Linked DNA regions of Caenorhabditis elegans. The protein of the gene in region 1 interacts with the protein of each later gene in a pairwise test. Each region holds a gene or a part of one and is shown on either strand. Other genes may lie near its edges.

Region 1 (4,389 bases):
CACCAACAAGGTCGTCTTCTTTTTTCTTAATTTCATCAACAGTATCAGCCATACAACATCCTCCAGCGCCAGAAGCTTCGACACTTTTTGAAGCCAATGGAGGTGTAGTTTCATGATGATGATGATCATGTCCGTGACCATGTCCATGTCCATGAGCAAATGATGGAATTATCATAATAACGACTTCTTCGAGAAAGAAGATAAGAAAGAATCCGAGACAAGATAAAAGTTCTCCGACTGGATAATCGATACGAAAATTATGAACTGTATCGAGGGTTTCAAGATTTTCACGAAGTTCTGGGAAAAGATGAAGGAAACACGTGGCAAGAAAGACTCCTGAAAAATTATAAAACTAATAAAATATTTTAAAACATTTCCGAACCTCCAGAAAAGCATGTCAAAAGGCAGAGAACAAGGGAAACGTGTTTGTGTTTTGATGAGCTCTGAGCTGTCGCTGCTTCATGCCGTAATTTGTGAAGTACCTGAAAAACATTAGTGAAATATTAATACACAAATCTCAATAATTTCTCACTTTTAATGGCGATAATCCAACGATAACTGTGAGCGAAAACATTACAAACATTAACACCAATTTCAGTATTGCTTCGTTCATTTTGTTTTCTGGAAAAAAAACTAAAATAAAAGTTATGCACGAAAAAGTTGGCAACGGGGCGGTCCGGAGGGTGCAGCTGATAAGAATAATTGATAACAGTGTGCTTTGTTCTAGTTTTCAAAGAAAAGTATATAAAAGCGGAAGGGAAATGAGAGAACGCGCGAGAATTCAGTTAAACCAGAAGAATTATTGTTGATATCGATTAGAAGATAATGTAGAATCAGAAATAGTGTGAATAGCGGTTTCAATAATAAAAATAACAATAAAACCAACGGCTATCGAATGTAAATATTTGTATTTGTATTTTAAAAAATCATTTATAATCTAAAGAAAGAAGAAAATTCTTTAAATTTAACGCCAAATTCGGCATAAGGCTGTGCAAAGATGTGCCTTTAGGCCTGCGGGGTGAGGCCTGAATCTCGCAACGACACTCCGAAATAACGCAGACGCGTGCTGTTTAGCAAAAAACAGTTTCAATGACGATTTTTGAATTTTAACCTTAACTTAAATAATTACCCGTTTTCCTTCGAAGTTTCTTTCGTTAAAATGCTAATTTTGGATGTTGTTCATGATGCACTTCATTTCGAATCATCCTAACGTAATTTAAACTCAAAGAAAAATCATAACACTCAGAATATGCTATGAAACGAATAACGGTAGAAGGTTATTGAATAGTCCCACTAGTTTCATTGAAATAGCTTTCATAAGTATTAGGAAATGCATTATTTTGTTCTTTCGATAGTGTTCGATGGTATTACTACAGAAATGTTCATTTTAAAGTTGTCTTCTACGATCGGTAAAAACTGACGATTAACGCGTTTGTTTACAATTGTTTTAATGTTTTAGTTTTAAAGTTTTAAAAACGATTAGGAGTTTTTCATTTTTATTTACACTCATTTTTCTCCTCTCAGCCCTCATTTATCCGACTTGGCGTGTTAAGTCATGTCTCGAATTTTTATAGGTTTTCTCTCTGTATGATTCCGTCTCGGCGACAGCGATACTTTCGCCCGAACTCACCGCCAGTGACATCATCTTCTTCCGGAGCAGGAAGCAGTCACCAGACTATGAATCCATCGAATATGAATGTTTTAGAGCAGGCCGAATTAGTTATCGATGGAGGTGATCCAGGTAATATTTACGAGTTTTATTTACCACCTTTGCAAACACAGCTTTTCGACTTTTTGCATGAGGTATATTAAATTCAAATTTTCCAGGGGATGAACAACAAGTTGCCCATGAAGAAATTGTAGACGACGGTTCGACTGAAATGGTTGTTGATCACCATCATCATCCACAACTTCGTGGTAATCCAATGCATCATCATCACTATGATAACCGTCAATCAGCTCCTGCTTATCAAGTTCCACAACAACAATCTCAATCAATTCGTAGAGGAGTTGGCCGTCCGATGGCTCCTCGTCCACAAAGTTACCCACATAATATGGATATGGTTCAGAAATTGCAAAATAAAAATGTCTATATGCCAGCTCAGCAGAGACCTCAGACAAGAATTTCTCCAGCCGGCGCGAGAATTGTCAGCTTTGCTGGAAGAAAACGAGATAATTCTGATGGGCTTCCTCCAGGTGTAAAGGTAATTTTTTTGGTCGAGATATTAAATTTATTAATATTCCTTTTCAGAAAATGAACATGCCCGCAGCTCGCCCACATCAGCAGCAAACTCAACAACAATCTCATCTGCAGCAAGGTCAACAATCACAGAAAAATCTGCAACCTGTCAAAGTAGTTCGTCTGGCTTCAAGTGTGGCTCGTGCAAATCCGACAGCATCCGAACATGCTCTTATCGAAATCGAGAATAATATCAAACAAACAATAGAAGATGCAAAAGTCGATACTGAGAGATTAAGAGAATTACAAGAAGCTGACTTCTCACAGGATGAATATCATCAATATCTTGGAATGTTGATTATGGATCTGGAAAGATCAAATGAGGCGAACTCGACTCTGACAACATATTATCGCGAACGACAACGACATGAAAAGACTATTTCGGAAGCCAGAGAAAATGCATTTTCAGCTAGAATTCGTCAGTTGGAGACTGAAAATCGAAAATTGAGGGATTCGATTCATGTGATGTATTATGGAAAGTTCAATGAGGCTGGAGGTCATAACAATATTTATCGAAATGATCATATGGTAATTTTCAGTTAAATTACATTTTATTAAATATGAATTACAATATGTTTTTTTACAACTTTCAAAATTGATAAAACAATAAAAATAAGATATCCCTTTTGCAAACATTTATTGGATTTCAGGGTCAAATGATGGTTGAAGAGCCCGAAGAGCATGTTGTTATTGAAGGACACGTGGGCAATAATCAAGAAGGAGTACGTTTTAAAAAAAAGTCTATTATACAAAAAAAAGAGCTTCAATGTTTTGAAATGCAGAATAAAATCTTGAACCTGTAAATTATTTTCTCAAAGCTATGTAAACGGAAAACCAATGACTGAGAACTGAAATTCCATTTTTATTACTAATTTATCTTAAAAGTACACCTTCTGGGGAAATGCAGTCGAAACTCTCCAAAAAACTTAACTGCTTTGTCATCGAGCAAATTTGGAAGAAAGTTTGAATTATTAATTTATAGTGAAATTACGAATTTAGTAAACATCTTGGTTTTTTTAAACTTATCAAAATGTTCGATTTTGTTTCTAAACAATAATAAAAAAGTTCGTAATAATAATAATAATTTATTTTAGGAAGAAGTTCCACAAGAGTGGATTGTCGAGGAGACTGTTGATGAACATCGAATGCATTTGGAAGGAATGGAAGCAGATGATCATATGGTTGAGGATCAACAACAACAGGATGAAGAACATGAAGATGTTAAAGATAAAAACTTGCTCGCTGGTGGAAGTGGAAGATCTGGATGAAATTTTTAACTTTTTATCTGGAAACCTGATTAATTTATTCGTTTCATCCTCTCTTTCATTCATCTATATTCTTCTGTTGTTAAATTATTCCTTTATGCCTACCGGAATCGCAAACTAATCAAAACAGACTAAACTTTACGAAACTACGGTCAAAAACTGTCACATTGCGTTCCAAATATTATTTATGTTTCCAATCCCAAATTTTGAAAATTAATTTACAAAATTCTCGGGTCTTATCGATTTCATCACTTTTCTGTTTAACTTTCCAATTTTTAAAATTTACAATTCTTTTTAATCTCACCTTAAGCTCCACAGGATCCCATTTTCATTCTTGATTATCAAATTAACATCTCTAGAAGGCAGGCCCTTCTTTCTTCCCACCCCCCCCCCCCCCCCCCCCACCTCTCTCATTATTCCCAGAACTAGTTTAAGAGCATTTTAAGCTACACTTTGAAATATCCAATACAAAATAAAGTTATAGTTTGAAATTTTTTATTCTGATGAATCTGTTGATATTTCCTGTTTAATACAGGTTCTGTACCTAAAAAGGATTACCGAAGATAGTAAATTCAAAATATTGTTTTGTAGAAAAATAAAATGACGGGAGGTTTAATTGTTGCCGGTTTGGGTCTCGCTGCAGTCGGATTTGGAGCTCGATATGTCCTTCGAAATCAGGCGCTTATTAAAAAAGGAATGGAGGCGATTCCAGTTGCTGGTGGAGCTGTTAGTGTTTATTTTTTGAAAGTTTTAATTTAAAAATGCCAAATTTCAGTTTAGCAACTATTATCGTGGAGGTTTCGATCAAAAGATGTCACGAGCCGAAGCAGCGAAAATTTTGGGCGTTGCGCCGTCAGCAAAACCGGCGAAAATTAAGGAAGCTCA
Region 2 (4,573 bases), on another chromosome or scaffold:
ATTCCCAGAAATAATTTCAGTGAAATTTGAAGCATTCATTGTGTTTCATAATCTTAAAATTTTGGTGTCTCATTGTCGGCTAACTAACCTTGGTGGCATTGGTGGTGGGCCTCTTGCAATGGGTTTTCGCACATTCTGCATATCAGCTTCTGCCATAACTGCCATAATTTTCATTCTTTCATCATCTGACAAATCATCGAGTCCAGGTGGTAATTCGGACATTATACTTGAACTCATAACACTGGGAGATCTTGTTGGAATTTGACTTGAAGGAGGAGGGAAACGTGCGCCCATCTCCATTTCTGCATTTGCCATAACTGACATGATCTTTTCTCTTTCTGCTTCCGAAAGATCCTCCATTCCTGCTGGAATATTTGATGAACCACTTGTGCTTGGTTTTACATTATTAACAGAATCGTCAAAGTCGGCTGCAGCCATAACTGACATGATTTGTCGACGTTCTTCTTCGGAAAGACCATCCATCGGAATACCGATTTGTGGAGAGCTGTAATTTCAAAATTAACCATTTAGGAAATGAAAATCAAAAGAAAAAAGAAGAGGGGAGGTAGAAAAGTGTACGTGCGGGGAGTAATCTGATATACTGGGAATGTTTTATGTTACTTACGGAATAGATTTGGTTGGAGCACTGGTGCCTAGGGAGGTTGAGGATTTGCTGAAATTGTTTTTTTTATAGTTGACTTGACAAAATATCAATTACCTGCTAGAGAAGACATTGTTGTTGACAATATTTGATGATGAAGAGGATGGCTGAAAAGTTTTTATTATTTTGAGGTTATTTAATTTATTTCAAAAAAATTAATTTACAGAAGTAATGTTTAAAAACATTAGCCGTTTTGTGAATTAGTTAATTGTTTGTTTATAATATTAATACCAAAAGCAGTTTCTCAAAAAAAAGTAATCAATCAAGTGAAAAACTCGTGAGCGTTTAGTCATGAGATCTAGATCAAAATCGTGTTACCATAATTGAATTGGGTCGGAAGCCCTACGGAAAGAGAATAAAAAGAAAAAAGTTCACTCACCTTGATGGGTACGGCGGCTTGGATTTGCGAACCCGCTTCCTTTGCCTGCAAAAAGAGCAATTATCGAAAGTGACAAGGAGAGAAGAGCACACGCATGTCTTCTCGCAAAAAATTAATGAGGCATGGGGGTCCCCCGAGCCGAATCCTAAAGTGTTTCTTTTTGTTGCACACCCTACATTTATGCATAAGCGACACATACAACAAAACATAAAAAAGTGGAAAATAGACCAAAACGATGGGTACATCTTTTGGAATGGTGTATGTGTGACCGCTAAAAAAAAAAAAGAAAAAAGGAAGAACAAATGATTGTATAGTGTTTGTTGGATGAGGGAACAACACATTTGCGTTATTTTGGAAAGACCGGAAAGTCGAATTCCGTGAGTAACGAGCCCATCGTAGCTGCTCTTGGAGAGTCAAAGACACTGCGAAATTGGTTTTGTATACTGACATTGAAATGGTTTTTTTTTTTTGAAAATGAATTCATGTAATATATAAATTTGTGTGTATAAAAAACTACTCATATTCTCAAAATGTTGCATGTAAAAGTTAGTTATTTTTAAGAAAAAATGCTGATTGAAGAGTTTCTTAGATGTTAACATAATTTCTATGTTTTTTTTCTAGAAAACAGTAAATTTGAATATAACAGAAAAAAACAAATTGTTGCAACATAATATGTTCTACATTATTGGAAAATCATTTCAAATATCCATACCAAATATCATAATAAAACCTGTCAAACAATTTTGGACAATTATTTATTTTCAGTCAAACAGCTCTAAAAAAAATAACAATTTCTATAGTGACTGAAAATATTTTGAATAGCTTCGCGCATTTACAGTTTCAAAAACGTAGTCTTTTGAGTTTTAGTTTTTTGTTCATGGTCTTTTTTCAAACGGTGAAGTCTGATAGGTCATAGTGAATATTCAATTACTTACCTTATTAATAGCATCATTTGCAATATTAGAAAGGAAGCCGAAATTGGGTCGCTTCAACATACGACTACCCGGCAGTGAATCGATGGGTGTCTGCTGCGCCCTCAACGACTCTTCTCTCTGCGTCTCAAATCCATCATCAAAAGCCTCACGACTACTACTCTTCGTCTTCTCCTCCTCTTCGTAGTTCTCCAGTTTTTGCTGCTCCACGGCGTCGTCACCATATTTTCTCTTTTCCCCTTCACCAATCGATCTTCCGGTGCCAAAGAAGGCAGAAGAAGTGGTGGGCTCATGGTGTTGGCTCTCTACGTCAATACCTGCAAATATATGTTTTTTTGCTTTGAGATTTGGTCTCTTCGTCTCGCTTTTTGATTTGTGCTATGAATTTTTCATTTTTGACAGAAAACTCACCTTCAAGGAAGTGAAGTTGATCCTCAACATACTCCAATGGGAACTCTTCAACGTCAGTTCGAATTTCATCTGAAATTTCAAAAATAAAAAAGTAAATAGAGAAGAAAAATGTAATATTTGTATTACATAGGTCTAATGAAATTATATTCAGTCATTTCTTTTATTTGGACGTTTTTCTGAGTCAAAAACAGAGTGGATAGTGGAAAATTTTGAAAGTTCAGATAAAAGTCTGCTGATTGCAATTAGAATTGTTTTTTGTAGAATTAAGAATTAATTAAACACTCTTGTAAAATATTTTTGATAACATTTTATCTAGCTTTTGCTTTCTTTGCTGTAGAAATTCTCTTGTCGAGTAGAATTTGTTTTAGCAAATTATACTAGGTAGGTGAGTAGGCCTCTGTGTACCTACACTGAAGCGCATAAAAGTTTTTTTTTTAAACCACTTACGCCCCACATCTTCTTCCTCATCGTGGATCGATTGTCGCATGAAACTGAGTTGCTCCTCATACCTGAACAAAATAGTAAAATTGAAACACTAATTTTCAAAAAGAAAAAAAAAGGTTTATTAAAAATTCAGCATACCACTTTCCGATATCCGACTCGGACTCTTGCCTAATCTCTGATATACTTCTAATGTCGTATTCACTACTCTTCCGTGACGCCATCGAATCTGCTGATGGCGTCGGAGACACAGTCTGAAAATCATAAAATCCTGTTGGATAGTAGTGTTTAGTAGTCAAAAAAGGGGAAAAGTTGAAAATCTGGGAGTTGTCACGCTATCTGCATAATATTTAATGACACCGTTGCATTGCCACGGCATGCATAGCAACATGGTGAATGTGAAAAAAAAGTATTTATGGCTGGGAAAATAGAAACAGCTCGCACACAAAAAACAACGTCTATTTCTCACCTTCTGAGCCATAATAGGACCCTGGGGCTCTTCAGTTGTGTCAAGTGCAGCAGGAGATGTAACTCGATCTGGAGAGAAGCCGCTCGTTAGCACTTGAGCATTGTTGTTATCGAAGGAGCCGCTGGCGCCTGAACTTGCATCTTCTTGTTCATCGAATATATCAGCACCTGATGTTGCATCTGATCCACTTTCTGTTATTGGTTCTTCTTCTTCATCTTGAACTGGTTCAGCAGTGAATGGAGTGTTATAATCCATATCAGCCATCTCAGCAATTCTTGCAATATGGTCAAGCTCTTCTTGAGTGAGATCTTGCTCAAAGTGTTTAGAAGGAGGAGGAGGAGGTGGAGTCAACGAAACCTTATGAGTAATCGATCTTTGGGTGGCAGGAAGTTGGACATCTTGTGCAGCCATTGCAGTAATCTTTGCTATATGATCAAGTTCCTCTTGAGTTAGTTCTGGTGGTTCGAATATTTTTACAGGAACATCATATTCTGCTGATGCCATTTCAGCTATGCGAGCAATATGATCAAGTTCTTCCTGAGTAAGTGATGTCTCGGATGGTTTTCCTGTTGGAGGTGGTAGAGTACTGATGTCCATAGATGCCATTCCTGTGATCTTAGCGATATGATCAAGTTCTTCTTGAGTAAGTTCAGATTCAACTGGAGCAGGATGTTCAGAAACAATTGAAGGATACATTCCAAAGTCTTCATTTGCCATTGCAGCTATTCGAGTAATGTGATCTATTTCTTCTTGGGAGAGCTCCGGTTCATTTTGTTTAACTTGAGGAGTTGGTAGAGTTTGTAGATCAGTGTTATCTTCAGTAGCCATAGCTGTTATTCTTGCAATGTGATCAATTTCTTCTTGCGATAGAGTTGGTTCTTCAACATGATAATTAATTGGCACTGGCATTGTCGCAACTCGTTGCTCTTGTTGGATAAAGGGAGATGGCGCATTTAAATCTTCGGAAGCCATCGCCTCGATCCTTGCAATATGTTCTTTTTCTTCTTCCGTTAGTTCTATTTCAATTTGCTGTGTTGGATGTGTTGAAACGTATGGTGTATTAAAATCTTCTTCAGCCATTGCAGCGATTCTGGAAATATGTTCACGCTCTTCTTCAGAAAGTTCAATTTCAGACGGCTGCGCAAACACTGGAGTAGCTGTCGAAGCTGGGAATCTATCAATTGCACCATCGTCCCTACTATAATTTTCATCATAAATTGGCGCGACAGCTCCTTTAACAGGATGTGTAAAGTCCTCGTCAGCCATTGCAGCTATTCGAG
Region 3 (4,731 bases), on another chromosome or scaffold:
CTTATTTCGCAAGCCTCGCACGCTTTTTCTCTTGAAAAGAAAACGCGCGAGGCTTGCGAAGTAAGCGTGCGGCGGTTGCGAATTCCTCCAAATTTCCGGCAAAAGTCCTGAAAAATGTAGATTAAATTCAATAATTTTTTTCAGAACAGTACGGAATTTCAGGCCTTACTTTCGGGCCTTCCGGCTTCTTCTCCTTCTTCTTCGGAGCCAAATCCTCCGCAGTCTTCGGTCCGAGCAGCTCCAAGAATCTCAAATCCACCTCCTTCTTCGTAATCGCACCATCAGCCCATGGAAGCAGAGCTCGTAGCTCGCCGAGCAACTTTCCGGCCGGGAACGAGTACCGCTCGGCGACGATTTTCTCGCGGTGTTGGCCAATCACCTTGGTAACGGCCGCTTCGATGTCGTCGATTGTGACAACAACGCCGACTCCGCATGATTTCTCGAAATCAGGCACTTGGATACCTTTAACGGTGTGCGAGAGAAGATACTCGATCGCTGCGGAGAGCTGAAATTTTTTTGAAATTTGGAAATTTAGCTGTTTTTTTTTTAATTTGAAATTTAATTTTAATTACAAACCTGTGGCTCTGTCTTAATCCCGTCATTCATAATATACTTGACAACTAGTGGAGTGTGAGCAGCGACTTGTGGCTTCAACTTTGTCGCCAACTGGTACAAAAGTGTTCCTTTTTGCTTGGAAATCTCGCCAGACTCGCTCGCAAGCTTCACAATTGAACCGATCGTTTCGGTGAGCTTCACATTTTTCAGCGTTTCAGCTACTTTTGAATCAGAGAGGCCCAAAGAGAGAAGCTCCTCCTTTGTTGCCATTTTTACCCTGGAAAATTTGTGAATTTTTTTGAATAATTTGAAGTTAGAAAGTGGAGAAGCGGAAGAAAATTCTAGAAAATAAATGTTTTTAAAGAAAGTCCAGTTTTCCGTTTTCTGAGTTTCGCGGAAAGTTGCAATCTATAGAAAAACTGAAAAAAAAGCAAATCGCTTCCTGAAACAGCCTAAAAAACCTTGAAAATACAAAATTTAGGGAGAATTTAGAAGATTTTTCGTCGAATCTCGGGAAAATCTTGAATAATTGAGTGAGAAAACAGTTTTTACAATAAGGAATTATGATAAAGTTGCAAACATCTGGAGAAATTCCAAATTTCTTGATTTTAGCCGAATAACCCTAAATTTTTCAGTTTTTTCCGAGTTTTTCGCGGGATTTGAGTTTAAATACAATATTTCTATATTTTTAATCAAATTTTTAGCCTCAAATCTGGAAAAAATAATTTTAAAAAAGCCAAAAAACCACTGGAAAACTTTTAAAATAGGCTTTTCCTTGCTAATTGCAGCTGAAAACTGCAAAAGTGTGCATTTTCGCGTGCCGGTGTTTACACACAAAACATCACAAAATGGTGTGCCACATCGGATCCACGTTCATTTTTTTCAGCGTTGTTCTTCGTGTTTTTGCATTAAAAAGTTCTGAAAATCTGGATTTTTTATTGATTTTTACTTCGAATTGTGATCTTTAATCTAATTTCTATGGATTTTATACCGAAAATGTCGAAATTACATATGAAAATTGCTAGAAACCGGCTGCAATTCTCATTTTCTGATTTTTATCTGATTTTCTTTCCAGTTTCCCCTTGATTTTTATTGCGCTCTGGCATTTTAAAAATCAATTTTCGCACATTTTCAGAGATGGCCGACGAGAACCACGTCCGTCTAAGCGAGGTTCAACTGATTCAGTCGGAATTCGGACATTCTCTCGAGGAATGCTACAAGCTTGCCGTTCAATATTATAAAAAAGGTATTTTTTGATTTAAAAATTCTTTTTAAAAAATGAGTTTTTTTCCAGAACACGTCGGGAAACAGGAGCCTGTTGGATATGAAGATCGCATTAAATTGCTCTCGTTGAGCAAACAAGTGAAAATTCCAGTTTTAAAATCAAAAATTAAATAAAAATTAAATTCCAGGTCCAACATGGAGAGATTTCCGATGAATTTGACAACGCTGGATGGCTAGATATCACTGGAAACGATGTGAAGTGGGTGATTTTCAATCAAAATTCTAACAAAAAAAAAGAAAACACTCTATTCCTTTTCCAATTTCCCCCCACACCCTCATTTCTCGAAAATGATGAACAAAATTGGAGAAAAAAAAGAAGAAGGACACACGAAGACGCAATCTCCAAAAAATTTCATTTTGTTTTTCATTTCCTATTCTATTCCAGGATAGAAATCTCGGAGAATTGGCAACTTTTCTTCTGATTTAATTAATTTTTAGCGGTTTTTCTTCAGAAATTTGATCAAAAATTGAATCGATCCGTGAATTTTGCACAGAAAAAGAGGCGGGGCGTAATTTTGCAACCCTGTGGCACCGTTTTTTAATGTCGATTTTACTAGTTTTATTCTTTTTTTATCGAATTAAAAGGTTATCCAATTAAATTCTAGTAATTAATTTAATCTGAATATCCTTATAATCTTATGAGAATTAAATTTTATAACATTTTAATTCGAAAAAAAGATAATATGACAAGTAAAATCGGCATTTTATTGAAAAAAATCAACAAAAAGTGGAAAACGAGCTCCAAAAAAGAGAGAAAACGCTGGTTTTCTGGCGAAATTCACAATTCTTCCACGCAAAACTATGTAGCTGAAAATTTCAGAAAGTTGGAAAAAAAATCCAATTTTATAATTTTTTTACAGTTTTTTTTTACAAATTCAGTTTTCTAGGCTTCTCTTCTGGCGCCCTCAAGCCATTCTCAAACTTTAAATGAATTTTCCAAAATTTTAGGCTAAAATCCTCCAATTTTAGTGCCTTCTCCTCTGAAATTAAGCAGCAAATCTGAAAAAGCTGTCAAAATAACCTATTTTATGGCAATTTTGCACCTCAAATAGAGCCGTTTTCAGCGATTTTTCGAACTTTGTTGCTCGTCAGTACAAATTCGTGTTCCTCCTCCTGCTCCACCACTCGCCGTCTTGTTTCGTCTAATCCATTTGGGACGTTTATACGTGTTTTGTGTGTCCCGGCGGCTTCTTCCTTCACTTTTGCTACTAGAAATTATTTCTCTTTGAAACCTCTGTCCGAAATATATTTTTTTTTGCTGGACGCCTTCTTTAGAACCTTTTCAAGTGTGGCCAATTATCGTAAAAGCAGGCGGTGTGCAAATTTGATTTTCGAGAGAGAAGGAATGTTCAATGTCTACCAGTTATTTTGGCTTTTTCCAAGGATTCGTTCAGTTCTTTGACGAATAACAGCCCCACGGGGTTCTGGCCTTCCTCATTGAATTTTTCGCGCTCCATTGACAATCGCTCGCCGGACTCCACACGGACAAATACATTTACATAGTTTTTCAACTAAAATCGAGCCGCGACGCGACACGCAACGCGCCGTAAATCTACCCCCGAGCCAAAATGACCTAGTTCGGCAAACTCTTCCATTTCAAGTTATGAGGGAAGCCAGAAAACCGTGGCAGCCCGAAAGGTCTTCTACTTTTGATGCTCTCGGAGCTCTGAGCCAAAAAGCCCCAAATATGGATACAAATCCATCATGAGCTCACCTCATAAGAGCCGGCTCTCCTAATACTCATCAGTCATTTTGTATTCTTTCCTAAAGAGATAGACATACATGTTTTCAAAAAAGAAAAGAAGTTTTTGTCGAGAATTCGTCACAAATTGATTTTCAGCCTCTTTTGTCGACGAAAATTTCAGCTACACCCACCAATTTGGCTCTCCTCCTCCTCCTGCTCAAGAGGAGCAACACTGAAATCTCTGGAGAATTGGGTGGCTTCTTCCTCTCCTTTCATTCCTTTTTGCCCTATTTCTCTCGTTTTTCCGTCTGTTAAAAAGTTGACGGCACATCCTTCTGTTTTGTTACTTTGTTGTTTTCGAGGCGGTTTCACAATTGTCTACGGTATTTCCTGATTACGGAACTTTTTTCTGCGTGCGGATTCTGAGTTTTTCACGGGGTTCTGGCCCAGATATGGCAGAGCCAAAATGGCCTAGCTCGGCAAACTCTTTCATTTAAATTTATGAGAGGAAGCCAGAAACCACGCGACGCCAGACTGTCCCATCACGATTTGATCTACAAAAAATGCGGAAAATTTTTTCCTCTAAAAATTGTGACGTCAGAACGATCTCAACCATGTGAAATCAGAAGAGATGTCTGCGTCTCAACTCCCGCATTTTTTGAAGATCAAATCGGAATAAGACTTTTCGGACTCCATGCGGTGCACCCGTAACGTGACTGAGATCGTGGCAAGACCCACTTATCATGTCAAATTTTCGGGAAAATGTCCTACCGTACTTACTTGAAGGAAGAACCTCTCATCAACATTCTACAACCAAAATGTAGTCCTCATTGCAAGAAGAAATACGTCATATTTCTCTGTCTATCTACATTCCAGTACTTGTGTCTGATAATCAGGAAGTGCTGATATCCATTCCGTGTTTTTCTCATGACACTTGCTTTTTTTTGAAGAGAAGTCACCTTCGCCCTCCAGCAAAATTTAAGGTTTTCCCACGAGGATATCCAGCGTTTCCTCGTGTTTCTTTAGTAGTAGTTCACTTTTTTTCTGGTTTTGTTTTCGTTGGATTGCTTTCCTTTGTGGAAAATCAAATTTTCTACCGAAATTTGTGTGGGGATTCTCTCGCTACTCTGGTCTGTTCTTCTGACTCACGTTTTCCGTTTCTTTCCATCCAAGAGACGTACAAAAGTAGTAAGAGTAAACACACAGAC

Evidence for each region. Proteins that work in one complex are often made in the same cells at the same time.
Region 2: the proteins of T19B4.5 (region 1) and cla-1 interact in a two-hybrid assay, tested with the Caenorhabditis elegans proteins (one large-scale study listed by BioGRID).
Region 3: the proteins of T19B4.5 (region 1) and Y41E3.7 interact in a two-hybrid assay, tested with the Caenorhabditis elegans proteins (one large-scale study listed by BioGRID).

The regions. Positions count from the first base shown.
Region 1 is NC_003279.8:5,672,732-5,677,120, forward strand, and holds T19B4.5 (uncharacterized protein), read left to right. Parts: upstream 1-1,572; 5' UTR 1,573-1,677; coding exon 1,678-1,741; intron 1,742-1,827; coding exon 1,828-2,204; intron 2,205-2,251; coding exon 2,252-2,767; intron 2,768-2,889; coding exon 2,890-2,961; intron 2,962-3,333; coding exon 3,334-3,507; 3' UTR 3,508-3,878; downstream 3,879-4,389. Other genes in the region: zipt-2.4 (Zinc transporter ZIP3), read right to left, coding at 4-336, 383-482, 533-613; dnj-21 (Mitochondrial import inner membrane translocase subunit TIM14), read left to right, coding at 4,105-4,230, 4,280-4,389.
Region 2 is NC_003282.8:7,609,155-7,613,727, reverse strand, and holds the start of cla-1 (Protein clarinet), read right to left. Parts: upstream 3,049-4,573; coding exon 2,966-3,048; intron 2,893-2,965; coding exon 2,831-2,892; intron 2,453-2,830; coding exon 2,384-2,452; intron 2,290-2,383; coding exon 1,976-2,289; intron 1,086-1,975; coding exon 1,041-1,085; intron 769-1,040; coding exon 719-768; intron 674-718; coding exon 626-673; intron 506-625; coding exon 89-505; intron 1-88. UniProt on the Caenorhabditis elegans protein: Required for synapse development in the active zone of presynaptic terminals of specific neurons including serotonergic NSM neurons.
Region 3 is NC_003282.8:15,012,352-15,017,082, forward strand, and holds the start of Y41E3.7 (Golgi resident protein GCP60), read left to right. Parts: upstream 1-1,683; 5' UTR 1,684-1,692; coding exon 1,693-1,801; intron 1,802-1,849; coding exon 1,850-1,917; intron 1,918-1,967; coding exon 1,968-2,038; intron 2,039-2,903; coding exon of another isoform or gene 2,904-2,985; exon of another isoform or gene 2,986-3,145; intron 3,146-4,731. Other genes in the region: qars-1 (putative glutamine--tRNA ligase), read right to left, coding at 170-505, 577-825.